4 linked regions of the Macaca mulatta genome follow. The protein of the gene in region 1 interacts with the protein of each later gene in a biochemical or structural test. Links are inferred from orthologs where the notes say so. Each region holds a gene or a part of one and is shown on either strand. Other genes may lie near its edges.

Region 1 (3,500 bases):
TTTCAAAGTGTTACAGTGTATTGGAGAGCAAGCAGCATTTGCTTCTATTGCTCATTTTAACACTTAGCATATTTCATCCCAAAACTAAAAAAAAAAAAAAATGCACTCAATACTTTGCTTCTGCCATGTGTTAAGTTCGACATTTTGTTCTTTTGATGCACTCTTTTGTGGGAGCATCTTTTTGTCCTTTTAGAATGTCAACTGCTTACTGATCAGAGCTTAGACTCCTCTCAGAATAGTTTGCCCGTTTCTTATCTGAGTAGCACTTACAGTTGACATCATCATTTTTCTCACTGAATACTTTTCTGAATTACCTGGATTGTGAATTTTCATTGTTTGGTACCTCAGTATTTAAACCTCTGCACGGAAGTCACCACTGAATCACCACTATGATTAAACCACTATGATTCAATCACCACTATGATTTAAACAACTTTTTACCAAGATAGAACTTGCCTAAATAAGTTAATTGCATTATATTTTTTATAAGTAAGCATACAGTTTTCATTAGTAAAACTCATAAAGATAAGGATTGCTGTGAGTATATATCCATCCCCAAGAAACTTAGGAAAAAGTCTTTACATTGAAAGGACATTTTTGAAATTACTACTCCTTATTTACAAATGGATAACTATATCTTAAAGAACAGAGGTGGGTGTATTTCTTTTTGAGCAGTGTTCAGTATAGTCAGTACCGTAGAAGAATGGTAGTATTTTTATTATAAGAATCATTTTAACTCAAAGATTTGTTTTATAACTTTAAAATAATTTTCTTTTGCTTAGTGGCTTGGTGCCCCTTCATAATGCCTGTTCATATGGACACTATGAGGTGGCTGAGCTTTTAGTAAGGCATGGGGCTTCTGTCAATGTGGCGGACTTATGGAAATTTACCCCTCTCCATGAAGCAGCAGCTAAAGGAAAGTATGAAATCTGCAAGCTCCTTTTAAAAGTATGTAGTTTAAAAAGTTATGAAATATAGACTAATTGTATTTATATTTTGGTTGTTACTTGAAAGTAAGTTGGGGTATGTTATTCTATTAAGAACAATACTGCTGTAAAGACTGCTCTCATTTTCTATTTCCCCGAAGACTGTTTATGTGGTACGATACATAGCTTAATATCTGAAATGGTTTGATTAAGTCCATGTCATAAAAATTCATCAAAGTAGGTTTTACAAAGAGCTGAAATAGTTTGCATTGCTTATCTAGTACTTATAGTATTAATAACAGAAAAAATTGTACAGGAGAAACAAGCTTTTCAATCTAGTTGGTTTTTTTTTCCTTGTTGGCTATTTTATTATTGTTAACTAACTCATTCTTCATTAGTAAACATTAAACATTTTATCTTTTAAGAACTTATTTTAATAACAGATTTTTATTAAAATATAAGATAATCTCTAGACAAAGTTGTTCATATAGATTTGAGATACATGTAAAAGAGTAAAAACTAGTAGTTATATGAAACTAACTATAATTTATGCTCACTTTAAGTTAAAGTATATTTTTAAAAAATGACCAGATGTGTATTTATGAGATTTTCTCTTGCTTTTTTTTAACTACAGAAAAAAAAAATTGATGTGTTTAAATAAAATTCTTCTCCCTTCACTTTTATGATATCAAATATGTTCTTATGAATCTTGAGAAAAACACAGTATCTGATACTCATTTTTATTATCACTGGTTGGTAAGAAATAACTTCCAAGTCATTGTGAATCCATTGTCCAACTTGACTTACAACTAATTTCCTCAGTGAGCCCACTACAGTTTGTGGCCAACCTATAATAAAAATTACTGACTTCTATTTACTTTATTTAATAGATATTGGTAATTAAACTTTTAAAATCTCTAATTTTAATACCTTTATATCTAATTTCATGGTAGATGTTAAGACTTAGGATAAAAATATTAAAAATATTACCAAACTTTATCTAAAGATGGCCTTTAGAATTAAGTCCTTTTTTACCAGCGTGTCTTACTCTCTTCTTTTTCATACCTACTGAGTATCTTTATGTAATTGAATCTGGTCAAAATTAACATCCATGCTATTCTTCAAAGTAAAATAGGTTTCCAAAGACAACTTGGAATCAGAGAAAAAGTATATTAAACAAGTTATCTCAAAGATACTTAACAGTCTCCCTACTTTATCATCACCATTGATCCTGAAGCTTTTACTGAGTAGTATTAATAGTTAGAAAGCTGATCCATTATATTGCTAAGTAGGAATTTTGCAAAGTGTTTTTCAAAATGCATATAGCATAGATACCTTCCCCTGGAGGAACAAAGGTAGAGTAAATTAAGTACCTACCTACCTACCTACCTACTTACTACAGAAAGATACTATAGAAAATACAAACCCCATTTGGTTTTTCTTCTTTGTAGCATGGGGCAGATCCAACTAAAAAGAACAGAGATGGAAATACACCTTTGGATTTGGTAAAAGAAGGAGACACAGATATTCAGGACTTACTGAGAGGGGATGCTGCCTTGTTGGATGCTGCCAAGAAGGGCTGCCTGGCAAGAGTGCAGAAGCTCTGTACCCCCGAAAATATCAACTGCAGAGACACCCAGGGCAGAAATTCAACCCCTCTGCACTTGGCAGGTGAGCGCCCCCCAGTGCCTCCACGCCTCCTTTTCCTTTCTCGGACACCTGATACAGTGTACTAAAAGATGAAAGCCATGCTGAACATAAATGGGACTACTTAGTAAAATGCTGTTGATTGACATAGTTTTGTATAATTTCTTATTGTGAAGTCCCTCCATTATGAGATAATAGTATTAACTTTTGAAGCAAAAAGTATTAAAACCTTAACATTTTCTGGTCCTTATTTTATATGTATGTATTTGTTTTCTTTTAAGCTGACACGTTTCCTGTATTTTTTTTACTCTAAATAGCAGGCTACAATAACCTGGAAGTAGCTGAATATCTTCTAGAGCATGGAGCTGATGTTAATGCCCAGGACAAGGGTGGTTTAATTCCTCTTCATAATGCGGCATCTTATGGGGTAAGCATACTAACGTTGAAAGCTAGAAAACTGGCCAGGCATGGTGGCTCACGCCTGTAATCCCAGCACTTTGGGAGGCCAAGGCGGGCGGATCATGAGGTCAGGAGATCAAGACCATCCTGGCTAACACGGTGAAACCCCGTCTCTACTAAAAATACAAAAAATTGGCCAGGCATAGTGGCAGGCGCCTGCAGTCCCAGCTACTCGGGAGGCTGTGGCAGGAGAATGGTGTGAACCTGGGAGGCGGAGCTTGCAGTGAGCTGAGATTGTGCCACTGCACTCCAGCCTGAGCCACAGATCAAGACTCCATCTCAAAAATAAATAAATAAAATAAAATAAAATCTAGAAAACTTCCCTGGCATTTACGACTTTGTTAAATGCATACTATGCGTTAAGTGAGTAGATATCTAACTAATAGCATGATTTAGCACAATTTTAATCTTTTGTTCAGAGTTTTGGCGTTTCTTCCCAGCTAAACTTAACTACCTTTTGGCCAACAA
Region 2 (4,027 bases), on another chromosome or scaffold:
GGTAAATTCTAGATTACTGTGTCAACCTAATATTTTCTATTTGGCCATAGATGTAAAATCTACCAAATAAAAGTGGATTTTGTGGTCTACAACATTTTGTTTAAAGTGAATTCATGTCTGCTAACACTGTAAGTCTGCCATTTAATCCAGAGTGTTAGACTACTAATGAATATGGTAAGGAAAATATAAAATATTAATGGTATCTGCTTTAATTTTATTTCCATATATATTTATTATATACACACTGCCTATAGGTTCTGTTTAAATAATAATCTGTTAAATAAATAATCTCTTAAGAAAAAAAATCAGACTTTTCTGGGCAGGTGATTTAAAGCTGAAAACAACCAATTAAAACTACCACTTTTTAAGTGACCTTTGGTCACAAATGTCAAAATGTTTCCACACCCTTTCCACACTCAAACAAGAGACAAATTGTTTTTGATAAACTCTAGTATTTATTAAATTATAAATTTTGTAATCAAAAAGAAAAATGCTGACCAGAAAAACCTCAAACTATAAGACTAGACAGCAAAGCCTATGGGAACGCCATGAAGTGTGTTACAAACATTCTGAAACATAAGTTACTGGCTGTTTTCATTTCCGTATCAATAACTTTACTATAAAATAGTAGTTATTCATCTATTTTGAAATCCCAAATTCACATCTATTCTTACATTAAATTATGCTTCCTGCTCATAATATCAAACATCTCACAGGTGCCAAATTTTAGTAATGGTCTTATGCCAATCCATGCAGAAAAATAAGACACAATGCAGGAGTCAGATGAGGACCATTAATGCACAGATAATACAAACACACTGGCCAAAAGAACTACAGAAGTTTTTAAAAACTATAAAGTAAACAGACCTCGAGAAAACTGGGTTATTACTAAACAGCTCTCAACTATTAACACCCAAGTTCCTTACATTAAATAAATTTCTCAACAGAGACATGTTAGACATTTTGATTACGGGTCTATCCTTCCCATACCCCTTCCCACCCCAACTCCCAAAATGCACTACTAGGGATGAGTATAATGTTATGTGGGCAGAAATTTACAGGTAACCTTTTCAACCTTGAGCATGGAGCTGAAGACATTTTTATTTAAACTTCAGTTACTGTGCACTGTCCATCAGGCCTTCTAGATCTGACACTGACACTCACTGTTCCACCCCCTGCTACTGATCGATCAGTTCCCGATTGATCTGATCGATCGGATACTGTCTGGTTTGCATTAGAAACCAAAAGTCTCTGTTGGGTCAAGGAGTGCTGTGCAACAACTGCAGATGATACATTCTCACTATCACTACTGGCATCTGATTCAGTTTCTTCAATGGAGGTGTCTGGTGCTGGTACCCTGCCTGAAGATGGTGATTCATGATCTTCTTCTCCTTCTCCCCTATGACTCCTTTCAGCTATGCTGTCTCCACTGAGTTGTAAATGAGCAAAAGAGTCTTCCAGAGAAGTGCTTGCATCAGGGGATGGTGTTGCAGGGCTTGTTAACTGACCATCTACTGACGTTAGGGGCCTTACAGAAGACACTAGGGGCTGAACAGAAGCTCCACTCTGTGCTGATACACTGTCCGCTCCATCAGCAGAGCTCTCTCTTGCTAGGTTTACGGTATTAGCATCACAGTCTAGCCTAAGTCCAGCTACTCCCTTCTTTGGTATATCTATTATATCTCGCTTAATCTTCCTGCGACGTCCATGTTCATTTCTCCTATATTGAACCATGTTTTCAAGATCAGCGACATACAGAAAGCCAGCAATTAACATTTCAGTGTTCTTTTTACCTTTGGAAAAAGCATCTTCCAGCTCTCTACTAGTGCGCTCATCGTACTGCCACCACCCATTTCTTCCTTCATAATACCATGCATATTCACCATTTCCTCTACTTGCTGCCTTGAGTTCTTCTGGTGACAACAAGGTTGGCTTGTCAAGGAAATCCTCGGGAATTTCTTGTCGACAAAGAGCACACCGCTTTCCAAGCCATGAAGCTCCTTTTACACATAGATAGCAGAAAACGTGCTTACAGGGCAGACTGACTGGATGAACACATGTTTGCAGACAAATGGCACATTCAGGGACGGTTAAAGAAGGTGCAGTATTAGAACAGGACTCGTTTGCTTTCCTGTTTGTAGGAAGCATGTTTATTGAATGATCAATTTCACCACAGCCAGCCATCCTAAGAAAAAATACATAAAATATTAAAGTCATGTTTTAATTCTTGCAATATCTTAATTCAACAATTATGAAAATACTAACCACCTATTATGTGCATTATATGCAAGCCACATTCTAGACAATGGGGATATGAAGATGAAAGTAGAAGAAAAACTCTCCAACCAATGAAAACGTTTTATAAGCATTTACTTGTACATACTTTGGGAATGTATAAAAATTCCATCAGTGCACTTACAGATCGGCCCTGGAGAAACACACTGAAGAACTATATAATGAAAAGCTGCATCCAGTGGAGGGAAAAAGGATCATGGCAGCTATTATACAGTGAAATGAATGCTAGACAAGAAATCTAAAAATCTGAGTTTTAGAGTTCTTTATTAACTATGTGCTCTTAGGCATGCAGTTCAACCCTTAGTCTAAATTTCCTTACCTGCAAATCAGAGTTTACAAAGCTCAGGTAAAAATGAACAAAAAAAGTGCTTTGTAATCACTAAAGCTTCATAAAGGTAACAATCACATAAGACCAAGGGAGAAAATAACATGAATATTGAAGATGCCCTGAAGAGGAGGAAGAAAAAAGATTTGTCAAATTGGATGTATCCAGCTTAAACACTGACATAAAATTTATAATTTCTGCCTTGCTGATTCAGATAAACGTTTACCAAACACCTACCATGGTCTAGATACTAAGTACTGATGGGTCTAATGATAAATAAGACACTCAAGTACTCTGTTAAATAAGGAAACAAATATGCAGATAATTACAATATGGCCTGATTCCTGCATAATCAGAATGTATTAACATACTTACAAAAATAACAATGAGAGAGACAGAGATGAGAGGATGGACATAGGTTAGAAAGTTTAGTGTTCATTCAGAGGGGCCTGGGCAGTGGAGCAGATTCCAGGCAGAGGCATGTGCAAGACACTGAGTCAAATAGTCATACAAGCAATGGAAGAGCAGGAGATGAAGGTGTAAAGATAATCAAAAGCCAAGTCATGAAAGCCTTATTGTGCCCTGCTAAGGAAACATTTAATTTTTTTTTCCCCATAGTTAAAAAAAAAAAAAAAATTAAAAGGGGAGAAAATAATAGAGGGAGGAAACCACTGATAAGTAAAGAAGACTGAGAAATGAAGATGAAGATGTGAGAGATTAAAGCTTAAAATGCATGACAATCTTTGTGCCAGCTAATTCTGCCATTCTAAATGGGTCCAGTAGTTACAAAAGATATAGTCACTAACAATGCTTACGCTCATCAAAAATTGAAAAACAATAATCCTAGGCTATCATCACAGCACATCCAATCTTAAAACAATCCTTTTTTTTTTTTCTTTTTACAGCCTTTTCTGTGTTCTTGGTTCCTCAATAGACAAGGCTCAAAAAGATGGCAATTTTCTAGTAAAGGAAGCAACACATTAAGTTTTTAAAAAGATGGCACATATTTAGTAAAGGAAGCAACACAGTTTCAGTGGAAGAACTGATCACTAAAATGCTTAATTTCCAAATTATTTTCAACTTTTAATAACATTTCCAATCAATTCCTTTACCAAAAATTCTAGGTTATAGACATCAAGAAAGTACAACTTTTTCCTAACCTATGGAAAGTTCTAAGTCAGGGGTGTCTAATCTTTTGGTTTCCCTGGGCCACACTGGAAGAAAACGAATTGTCTTGGGCCACACATAAAATGCATTAACACTAATGATAGCTGATAAGCTAAAAAAAAAAAAAAAAAAATCACATAATGTTTTAAGAAAGCTTATGAATTTGTGTTGGGCTGCATTCAAAGCCACCCTGGGCCGCATGTCGCCCACAGGTTGGATAAGCTTGTTCTAAATAAACCC
Region 3 (4,010 bases), on another chromosome or scaffold:
AAAAAAGACAGACATTTGTCACAGATGCCAAACACTGGCTCTCTACAGATGCTGAACTACTGTACTACAGAAAACAGCAGCAAATTCTTCCAAAACTAATGGGTTTTATTGTTTTGGTTTTTTTTGTTATTTTGAGACAGGGTCTCGCTCTGTCGCCCAGGCTGGAGTGCAGTGGGGCGAGTTCAGCTGACTGCAGCCTCAGCTTCCCAGGCTCAAGCAACTCTCCAGCCTCAGCCTCTCATATGGCGGGGACTACAAGCAGGAGCCACCAACGCCCGGCTAATTCTTGTATTTTTTGTAGAGATGGGGTTTCACCATGTTGGGCAGGCTGGTCTCAAACTCTTGAGCTCAAAGCAATCTGCCCATCTCGGCCTCCCAAAGTGTTGGGATTACAGGCCACCTTGCCTGGCCCCAAAACTAATGTTTTAATTCATGTGTGAACCAAGTCCACCTTAATTATTTTAAACTATTTTTCAGAGCCCAGGAGAAAATTTTTTTATAATCATGTGTATTTTGGGCTGTCAACTGACAGAAGACTTTTTGGTGTCCCTGGAAGCACATGAACCCCTCCACAAGTTACTGATGTTGTTAAAACATATCCCAATTCCTGAAATCTCTGGGTTTCCACATGGAAGCACACCAAGCATTTAGTGTACACACACGTAGACACCACACATAAAGCAGTTATGTTTACTCAGGTTAGCATCAAATGCCCGCAAGCACTGAATCTGGCCCACAGCCTGTAGCTACCATCAATAAAGTGAGTCCATAAAATGGGCAGGATGCCTACAAGTCTGATATCGTATTTAAAATTCCCTTTCATCACTGCTTAGGCATATGCCCCAGGCACCATGGCAGCAAACTCAGTGCTACCTACGTGTGTAGGTATTTATTTTACCCAAACTTAACTTTTGAAATTTTGATTTACATGGAGGATGCAAGTAAAACAGCACGACTCTGACATCTTCCCAGCTGTCCACTGATTTAACTCTTGAAGGTTCAGGGCTACTATTTCACATGTAATTTGTTCCCCCATCACTGAAATTCTCAGTGACTAATGTAATCCGAAAAAGTCTGCTTAGCTTTTCTGAAACTAGAAATCCAAGTCAACACCAGCTGAAAATCAAACAAAAACACTGTTTTTCATGCTTTCCCATCCTTGTCCCCGAATGGAGATCTTAAAACTGAAACTGAGGCCAGGTGTGGTGGCTGACCCTTGTAATCCCAGCACTTTGGGAGGCCGAGGTGGGCGGATCACCTGAGGTCAGGAGTTTGAGACCAGCCTGACCCACATGGAGAAACCCCAACTCTACTAAAAATACAAAATTAGTCAGGTTTGGTGGCACATGCCTATAATCCCAGCTACTTGGGAAGGCTGAAGCAGGAGAATCGCTTGAACCTGGGAGGCGGAGATTGCGGTGAGCAGAGATCGCACTATTGCACTGCACCCTTTATCAATTATCTTAGAAGGGGCCAGGCACGGTGGCTCACACCTGTAATCCCAACACTTTGGTAGGCCGAGGTGGGCGGATCACCTGAGGTCAGGAGTTCCAGGCCAGCCTGGTCAATACGGTGAAACCCCGTCTCTACTAAAAATAGAAAAATTAGCCGGGCGTGGTGGCGCATGCCTGTAATCCCAGCTACTCAGGAGGCTGAGGCAGGAAAACTGCTTGAACCCAGGAGGTGGAAGTTGCAGTGAGCCAAGATCGCGCCACTGCACTCCCAGCCTGGGCGACAGTGCGAGACTCCGTCTCAAAAAAAAAAAATTATCTTAGAGGGGGCGGTGGTCACGCATGTAGTCCCAGCACCTTGGCAGGTTGAGGCAGGTGGATCGCTTGAGGCCAAGAGTTCAACAACACTTGCTGGGCAATATAGTGACACCTCATCTCTACAAAAAAAAAAAAAAAAAAAATTACCTTATAGATGGGCTGAGAAAAATCCCTAGAGAACTGACATGTTTTTCTCTACTTTCTTCAATGCCAAGCCGAAAGTTTCACTGCTCAGGCAATGCAGCTCTGGTTTCACTGGGGGCTAAATTCCAAAGTGCCGGGCGGGAGGTAGAATCTAGGAACCACACCCAAGAGAGAGACGAGTGTTTGGGCAGCGAGGCATCAAACCTGGAGGGCACGAACGCCTGAGCACGCGGCTACTCAGGCCGCACCGCGACCTGGACCCGGTACGCGGCCTCGGCGAGGGCGGGCGGGAGTGCCCTCCTCCGGGGCAGCCGGACTCCTGCCGACTTCTGGGAGGCGGGGAGGGCTCCAGGCCCGGCTCTCCCGGAGTTCCCGCACGCGATGCGCGGCCCCTGCAGCTGCTCCGCGCCCCCAGACGCGCCCGAGGCCTCGGAACTCCAAGCGGCCCCCGCGCCGCCGGTCTCGCTGCCCAGGGACACCCCTGCCCCAGCTCCCCGCGCGCCCACCCCCTCGGCCCCACGCGCGTCAGCCACCCGCGCCCCCCGCCGCTTCCGGGTCCCGCCCGCCCGGCCTAGCGCGGCCTAGCCCGCCCCGGCGCCCGGCCCTACTCACCCGCGCGCGGAGGCGGCGGGGCCCCGGGCCCGGCTCCCGGAGCGGCGCGGCGCAGCCCGGCCCATGCGCTCAGCGGCAGCGCGGCGGGCGGGACTCGGCGGGGGCGCGGCCCGGGGCGGCCCCCATCTCGGCGGCTGCGGCTCGGCGGCCCGGGGGCGGACGCGGGGCAGGCCGCGGGGGCGCCGCAGGGGCCCAGCCGCCAGCTCCCACCCGCCCGCTCCGCGTGGACGCGGCTCCGGGTCGACTCCGGCCGGCTCTGGCGGCGGCAGCGGCCACGATTGCCTCCGGAGCCGGAGCCCGAGCCCAGAGCGCCGAAGCCCAGGCCCGAGCGCCCCCGCCGGCGGCGCCCGGAAGTGCGGGGGCGGGGCCGGGGCGCGGGGACGAGGTGAGAGCGCGGGGCGGGGCCTCAGCTCGGGGCGGGGCCGACAGCGAGGGGACGAGGTAAAGAGCGTGGGGCGGGGCTTCAGGCGCGGGGCGTGGCTGAAAGCGCGAGGATAAGGTGAGGAGCGTGGGGCGGGGCAGACAGCGATTGGACAGGTGAGGAGCGCAGGGCGGGGCCCAAGCACGGGCGGGGCCGGAAGCGAGAAGACGAGGTGAAGAGCGCAGGGCGGGGCCTTGGGAGTGGGGCTGCGGCCAGGGAGCAAGGCGGGGCCCGCCTCGAGCCGAAGAGGTAACGAGCGTGGGGCGGAGCCTCGTGCGCGGGGCGGGGCCGGAAGCGAGGACGAGGTGAGAAGCATGGGGCAGGGCCTCTGCGTGAGCGGGAGAGGGGTGTGGTCAGCCCCTGCCGGGGGCGGGGCGCGGCGGGGGCGTGGTCGCGCGGTCTTCCCGAGGGGCGACGCGGAAGCAGAGCCGCGGCGGCTGCGGCTTCCCGGAGTGCGGAGTGGGGGAGGCGCCGCTGCAGGTGCTTGGAATGGCTGCGACCGTGGGGAGCGCTGGGCGGACTGCCCGCCCCGACGGGCGCACGCGGGGCGCAGCCCTTTTCTGCCGCCAGTACATCGGTGGGCATCCAGGGGGCTGCAGGCCTCGGGGCTCCCTGCCCCGCCGGCCCTGGACCGGAGGCCCCCGCGGAGACCGCCACGGCCTGCCAGCCGCCGTGAGGGAAGCAGGCTCCCAGGAGTTGGGTGGTCGGCAGGCAGGGATGGCCAGGTCCCTTGGAAGGTGGCGTGGGCTCCACCCTCCTGAGTCCCCAGGCAGCCGGGACTCACAGCGCCAGGGAACACATTAGGCCCCAATATGTGCTGGCTGTCACCCGGACAGGAGCCACAACCTCCAAGGAGCCCACCGGCTAGGACCCTCTGCCTTGATTTCTCCCAGGCACCATCTAGTATCAGAGAAGGGTTCTCCTTCCCTCCGCTGCCCAGGCCAGCCTGAGAGGAAGGCCATTGGAGTGTCTGAAACCCTGCAGCCCCTCCCCTGGGCTGTCTCCACAGCGGCCCTGCCAAGGGGTGCAGTCCAATCCTGCCATCTTGGCTGCCCAGATCCGTG
Region 4 (4,089 bases), on another chromosome or scaffold:
CTCTGTTGCTTCCCAAGGATGGCTGTTTATAATTTGGGGAGAGAGAGGGTGGGAGGCAGGGCAATGCAGGATCAAAATCCTCATCTTACTTTCCCGACCTTAATTAAGGATGTAGCTGCTGCTGGTCCTGTTCAAGTTGCTGGAGCAGGGGTCATGTGAGGCCAGGCCTGTAGCTCCTACCTGGGGCCTATTTCTACTTTTATTTTGTATTTCTGGTCTGTGAAAATGATTTAATAAAGGGAACTGACTTTGGAAACCATGTCTTTATGCTTTCTTTGTAGCCCTGGTTTGTTGCTCCTACTTTTACTGGTGGTGGTTACTGCCCTGGTCAGACTAGGCAGAGCCTGGCCAGCCGGGAAGCAAGTCTCGAGGCACATCCTGTTCTGTTCCCGGCTGGAGAAGCATTGGTTTTCACCCGCCTCTGCCCGGTTGGGCCACCTGAGAATCTAGAAATGAGAGCTGATGTGATTAGGAAGTCTCTCCCGGTTACACTCCATTAGCCAACCAAGCTAGGGGGAGGCAGCTCTTGGCCCCATCCTTACCTATGAGTCAAGGGTCTTCCAAGGCTTTAGATAATGAAATCAGGATTGACTGTCCTTCCCGCAGCCGGGGGAGTGGAAACGTGAGCCTGGAGAGTCGGGGAGGATGAGCGTGTGTGTAGGGTGGTGGTGGTTGCAGCCTGGTGGGGGGGTGCAAGAAAAGTACGGAGTATATGTGCAGCTTTTGTTCTTACGGGAAGAAGGGGGGATACAAACTTCAGTGTAGGGAGGAACCCACGTCTGAGACGGGGCCTGAAAGGAGATAAAGGTCACTACTGAGGAAAGCAGAGCTGCCAGACTTCCTCACCGTGGCTCTAAATCTGAATTGACACAGGAGGGGTGGCCACGTTGCGCGCGTTCTCAGCACTCAGGTGGCTGTACCAGGAAGCCGCTCCAGTCCGCCGGCTGCTACCTTCTTGCCGGCGTAGCTCGATGGTACTGCACTCCGTGCAGGCGGCGGGGCCCGGGAGGGGCCGCCAAGGCAGTCTCTCTAGGCAGTCGTCTCGGTGTCCATTTTACCCGAGCGCCCCCGGCTGAATTGCGTCAGTTTCGCCCCGGTCTGAGCCTGGGGCGGGCCCCTCATCTGCAAGCCTCATGAATAATTGAGTACTGGGCCGCGCCTGTTTGCCGACGGTGGGACGAATTCTGCACGGGCTTCCAACTCCCGGGTTCCACCGGCTCATGCATATTCATGAGCGCCCTGGGGGCGTGGGCCTGGGCGGAGCTAGGGGCGGGGCCCCGCCGGGGCTCACAGTGGCTTCGTCCCGCGGTGACGGCGGCGGCGGCGGCGGTAGCAGCGGCGGCGGCGGCGGGGACTGGCGTCGGGGCGCCGAGCCGAGCGGAGCCGGATCCCGGGCGAGCGCGTGAGTGCGCGGGGGCGGGCGGGCGAAGGAGGGGGCGGGGTCCGGGATGGGGCGGGGGAGGGGCATGGAAGGAGTGGGCGCTTTCCAGCCGAGACCTCGGGTTGAGGTGGTGGCGGTGAGGGGGTCACCAGGAAAGTTTGCAGGGGCCGGGGGCGCTGGGGACGCTGGAGGCCCGGGGGAAGCTGGCGCGTGTGCGCGGGGGCGGAGGGCGCATGGTCTGGAGCTCGTGCTGGCGGAGCCAGAAGAAAGGGGGGAGGGGGCGAGGGCTTGGGGCGGGGCCGGGGGCGGGCAGAGCCGCTGGAGGGACCCCTGCCTCCCCTTCCCCTGGGCCGCGCTAGCCCCCTCCCCCGGCTCCTTCGGCACGCCCCCAGCCACCCCAGTCCGCCCCCACCTGATCGACGTCTGCAGCCCACCGTCTGTTCGCCGGCTGCTTCACAGCCCGCTCACAGGTCCTCCGCTTCTGCCGCCACCGCCGTCCCCTCCTCCTCCTCCATCCTCTTCTCCTCCTCCTCTTCGGCTGCCGCTGTCCCTTCTGTGTCCAGAGCTCCCCACTGGGCCCCTCCAGACAGCCCATTGCCCGGGGCTGTTCCATCTTCCCGTTGGCCCTCCCTCTTTCCACCAGTTTGCGTGCTGTCCCTGCCGACCTCTCTAGCCTTCGATCCGGCTGGAGATCTTGCGGTCCATAGGGGCGACCCCGCCTGCGCCGAGTCCCCTCCGGGGCTGGAGCTGCCCAGCCCTTCTGGAGGCCTTATCTGCCAGGGGTCAGTTCGTCTCTACCCCGCTACCCTCTACCTCCTGGTCTTTTGGGGGTGGGGAGTGCTCGGATCCGCTGCGATTTTGCAGCTTCTGGCCACAGCCTTGGTGGCCTTGCTCACCTGGGGCTCCTGGCTGGGGTCTCTGAGTTGCTGTGGCCACCTCCGCACCTGGGGACTCTGAGCCCGCCTTCATTGCTGCAGCCCCTCATACCGCAGAGGGGCCCATCAGAACCTCAGGTGAAAGGATTTTTTTGATTCTGAGCCAATTCATTTCCATGTCCAACCACCCACACTATGTCCCTAGTAATAATGTTCAAGGACAAGGAAACAATCTTGTGTTTTAATTTTATTTTTTCTATCATGTGCCCCTCCCCCCACCACACTTGGCCTGGCTCTGCATAGTTATTCACACACCCACAGTGGGCAGTCTTCCGTGGTGGTTGACTGACCAGTGGGTTGACAGTACTGGGTTTCTCTGCTGTCTTCATACCCTTTCCCATCTTTGAAATCCCTGGGGCAGGGTTAGCGTTAGGGGAGAGGAGTTGGATTTTGCAGAGGTTGAGCACTGGAATTTGGTGCTGTCTTCCCAGACCAGCTGGAGTGGGTGGTTTTAAGTGAGGCAATGCCCCTTGCAGGTTGGAGAGGGTTGGGTTGTCCTCAGGGCTCTGCACACCGGGTGAGGGAAACTTCCCCCTTGCATGAGAGGTGCAGGGCCCTATTCCCCAGGGTCTCCATGTTTTTGTGGGTGGGAGAGTGCTTCAGGAGCCAGGATGGGAACTGAGGAGGTGGTGGAGTATCTGAAGAACAGGTGACAGGACTAGGGCCTGGGAGAGTGAAGGAATGGTCTGGGAATGCTGGTAGCCTGGGGTCACGGAAGAGGAGGAGGTGCTTATCAGGATATTAGCTCATTGGTGACACTGAATGGAATCACAGTAATCATAGGCAACATTTATTGAATCCTTATTATGTACTAGTCATTGTGCTAAGCAGTTTTCATGTACTATATCACGTAAGCCCCCTCAGGGTCTCAATAATCCCATTTTTCAGTTGGAGACACTGAGGCTTAGAGAAGTCACACGGCTAGAAAGTGGTAGACCCATCCAGCCTTGAATCTTGGTATATCAGACCCTGAAGCTCCTGTGGCAGGCTTCTACCACAGGGCTGTGCCACTTGGTTTAATTTCTTCTGTTCCCCTCAGAACTCCTTAAAGCCAACCCAAGGCTGGTGAGTGAAGCCCACATAGCCCCTTTTCATAGGCTGTGGCTGTTCCGCCCTGACTCTCTTGGAAGGTGGAGCCCCAGGGAATTTTCCCCCAAGTCACTCCACCCCCCGGATATTCTCAAGCCCTGTCCCGTTCTCCCAGCCCAGGCCTGGGCCGGCTCCTCCTTCCTCTTGGCTAGGCTCTGGAAATCCAGTGGGAGGCCATTGCTATGGCAACAGGACTAGGCCCTGGCTTTACCTCATCAAATTCCAAGCTGAAGCCAAGCGATTGAGAAATTAAAGAAAAAAATATATTCCAGATGTTTACTTTTTATTCCTTATTTTTCCGTGTTTGGATGAGACAGCTCTGAGGGAGGGGAGAGTGGGGCAGGGATGTGGAGGGAGAACAGGGAGAGGGGGGAGAAGGAACCACTCCCAGCTTTGGGAGGGAGGGAGAGAGGGAAGGAGGGTGAGCGGGAAGGGGGAGGCAGGCAATGAGGCGGAGCCCAGGTTGGGGAGGAGCGGGTTTTTCCCGTCTCCCGTGAGGTGATTCACAGAGTCTTCATACTTTGCAACTCTCTGGCTCTGCTTTGAGTAGACACCTCCAGCGGGGCCGTCCTACTCAGGGGGCACTCTGGGGACTGTAAGTGGGGTGTCTTGGAGAGTTTGTCAGAGGAGGGAGCAGTGAGTGACTCCCTGAAGCGCTAGGACTTTGGGGTTAGAAGATAAGAA

What was found. The genes of interacting proteins can lie anywhere in the genome.
Region 2: the proteins of TNKS (region 1) and RNF146 form a complex in vitro, tested with the Homo sapiens proteins (3 studies listed by BioGRID and IntAct, with this or other methods). The link is inferred for Macaca mulatta from reciprocal best matches to the Homo sapiens genes TNKS and RNF146.
Region 3: the proteins of TNKS (region 1) and AXIN1 form a complex in vitro, tested with the Homo sapiens proteins (2 studies listed by BioGRID). The link is inferred for Macaca mulatta from reciprocal best matches to the Homo sapiens genes TNKS and AXIN1.
Region 4: the proteins of TNKS (region 1) and TNKS1BP1 form a complex in vitro, tested with the Homo sapiens proteins (2 studies listed by BioGRID). The link is inferred for Macaca mulatta from reciprocal best matches to the Homo sapiens genes TNKS and TNKS1BP1.

Annotation. Positions count from the first base shown.
Region 1 is NC_133413.1:11,544,651-11,548,150, reverse strand, and holds part of TNKS (poly [ADP-ribose] polymerase tankyrase-1), read left to right. Parts: intron 1-782; coding exon 783-948; intron 949-2,377; coding exon 2,378-2,597; intron 2,598-2,890; coding exon 2,891-3,000; intron 3,001-3,500.
Region 2 is NC_133409.1:32,293,987-32,298,013, reverse strand, and holds RNF146 (E3 ubiquitin-protein ligase RNF146), read right to left. Parts: upstream 2,684-4,027; 5' UTR 2,615-2,683; intron 2,186-2,614; coding exon of another isoform or gene 2,185-2,185; coding exon 1,105-2,184; 3' UTR 501-1,104; downstream 1-500. UniProt on the Homo sapiens protein: E3 ubiquitin-protein ligase that specifically binds poly-ADP-ribosylated (PARsylated) proteins and mediates their ubiquitination and subsequent degradation. May regulate many important biological processes, such as cell survival and DNA damage response.
Region 3 is NC_133425.1:1,567,056-1,571,065, forward strand, and holds the start of AXIN1 (axin-1), read right to left. Parts: upstream 2,801-4,010; 5' UTR 2,526-2,800; intron 2,410-2,525; exon of another isoform or gene 2,118-2,409; intron 2,065-2,117; exon of another isoform or gene 1,917-2,064; intron 1,889-1,916; 5' UTR 1,887-1,888; coding exon 1,809-1,886; intron 1-1,808. UniProt on the Homo sapiens protein: Component of the beta-catenin destruction complex required for regulating CTNNB1 levels through phosphorylation and ubiquitination, and modulating Wnt-signaling.
Region 4 is NC_133419.1:16,081,413-16,085,501, forward strand, and holds the start of TNKS1BP1 (182 kDa tankyrase-1-binding protein), read left to right. Parts: upstream 1-1,289; 5' UTR 1,290-1,402; intron 1,403-3,825; exon of another isoform or gene 3,826-4,000; intron 4,001-4,089.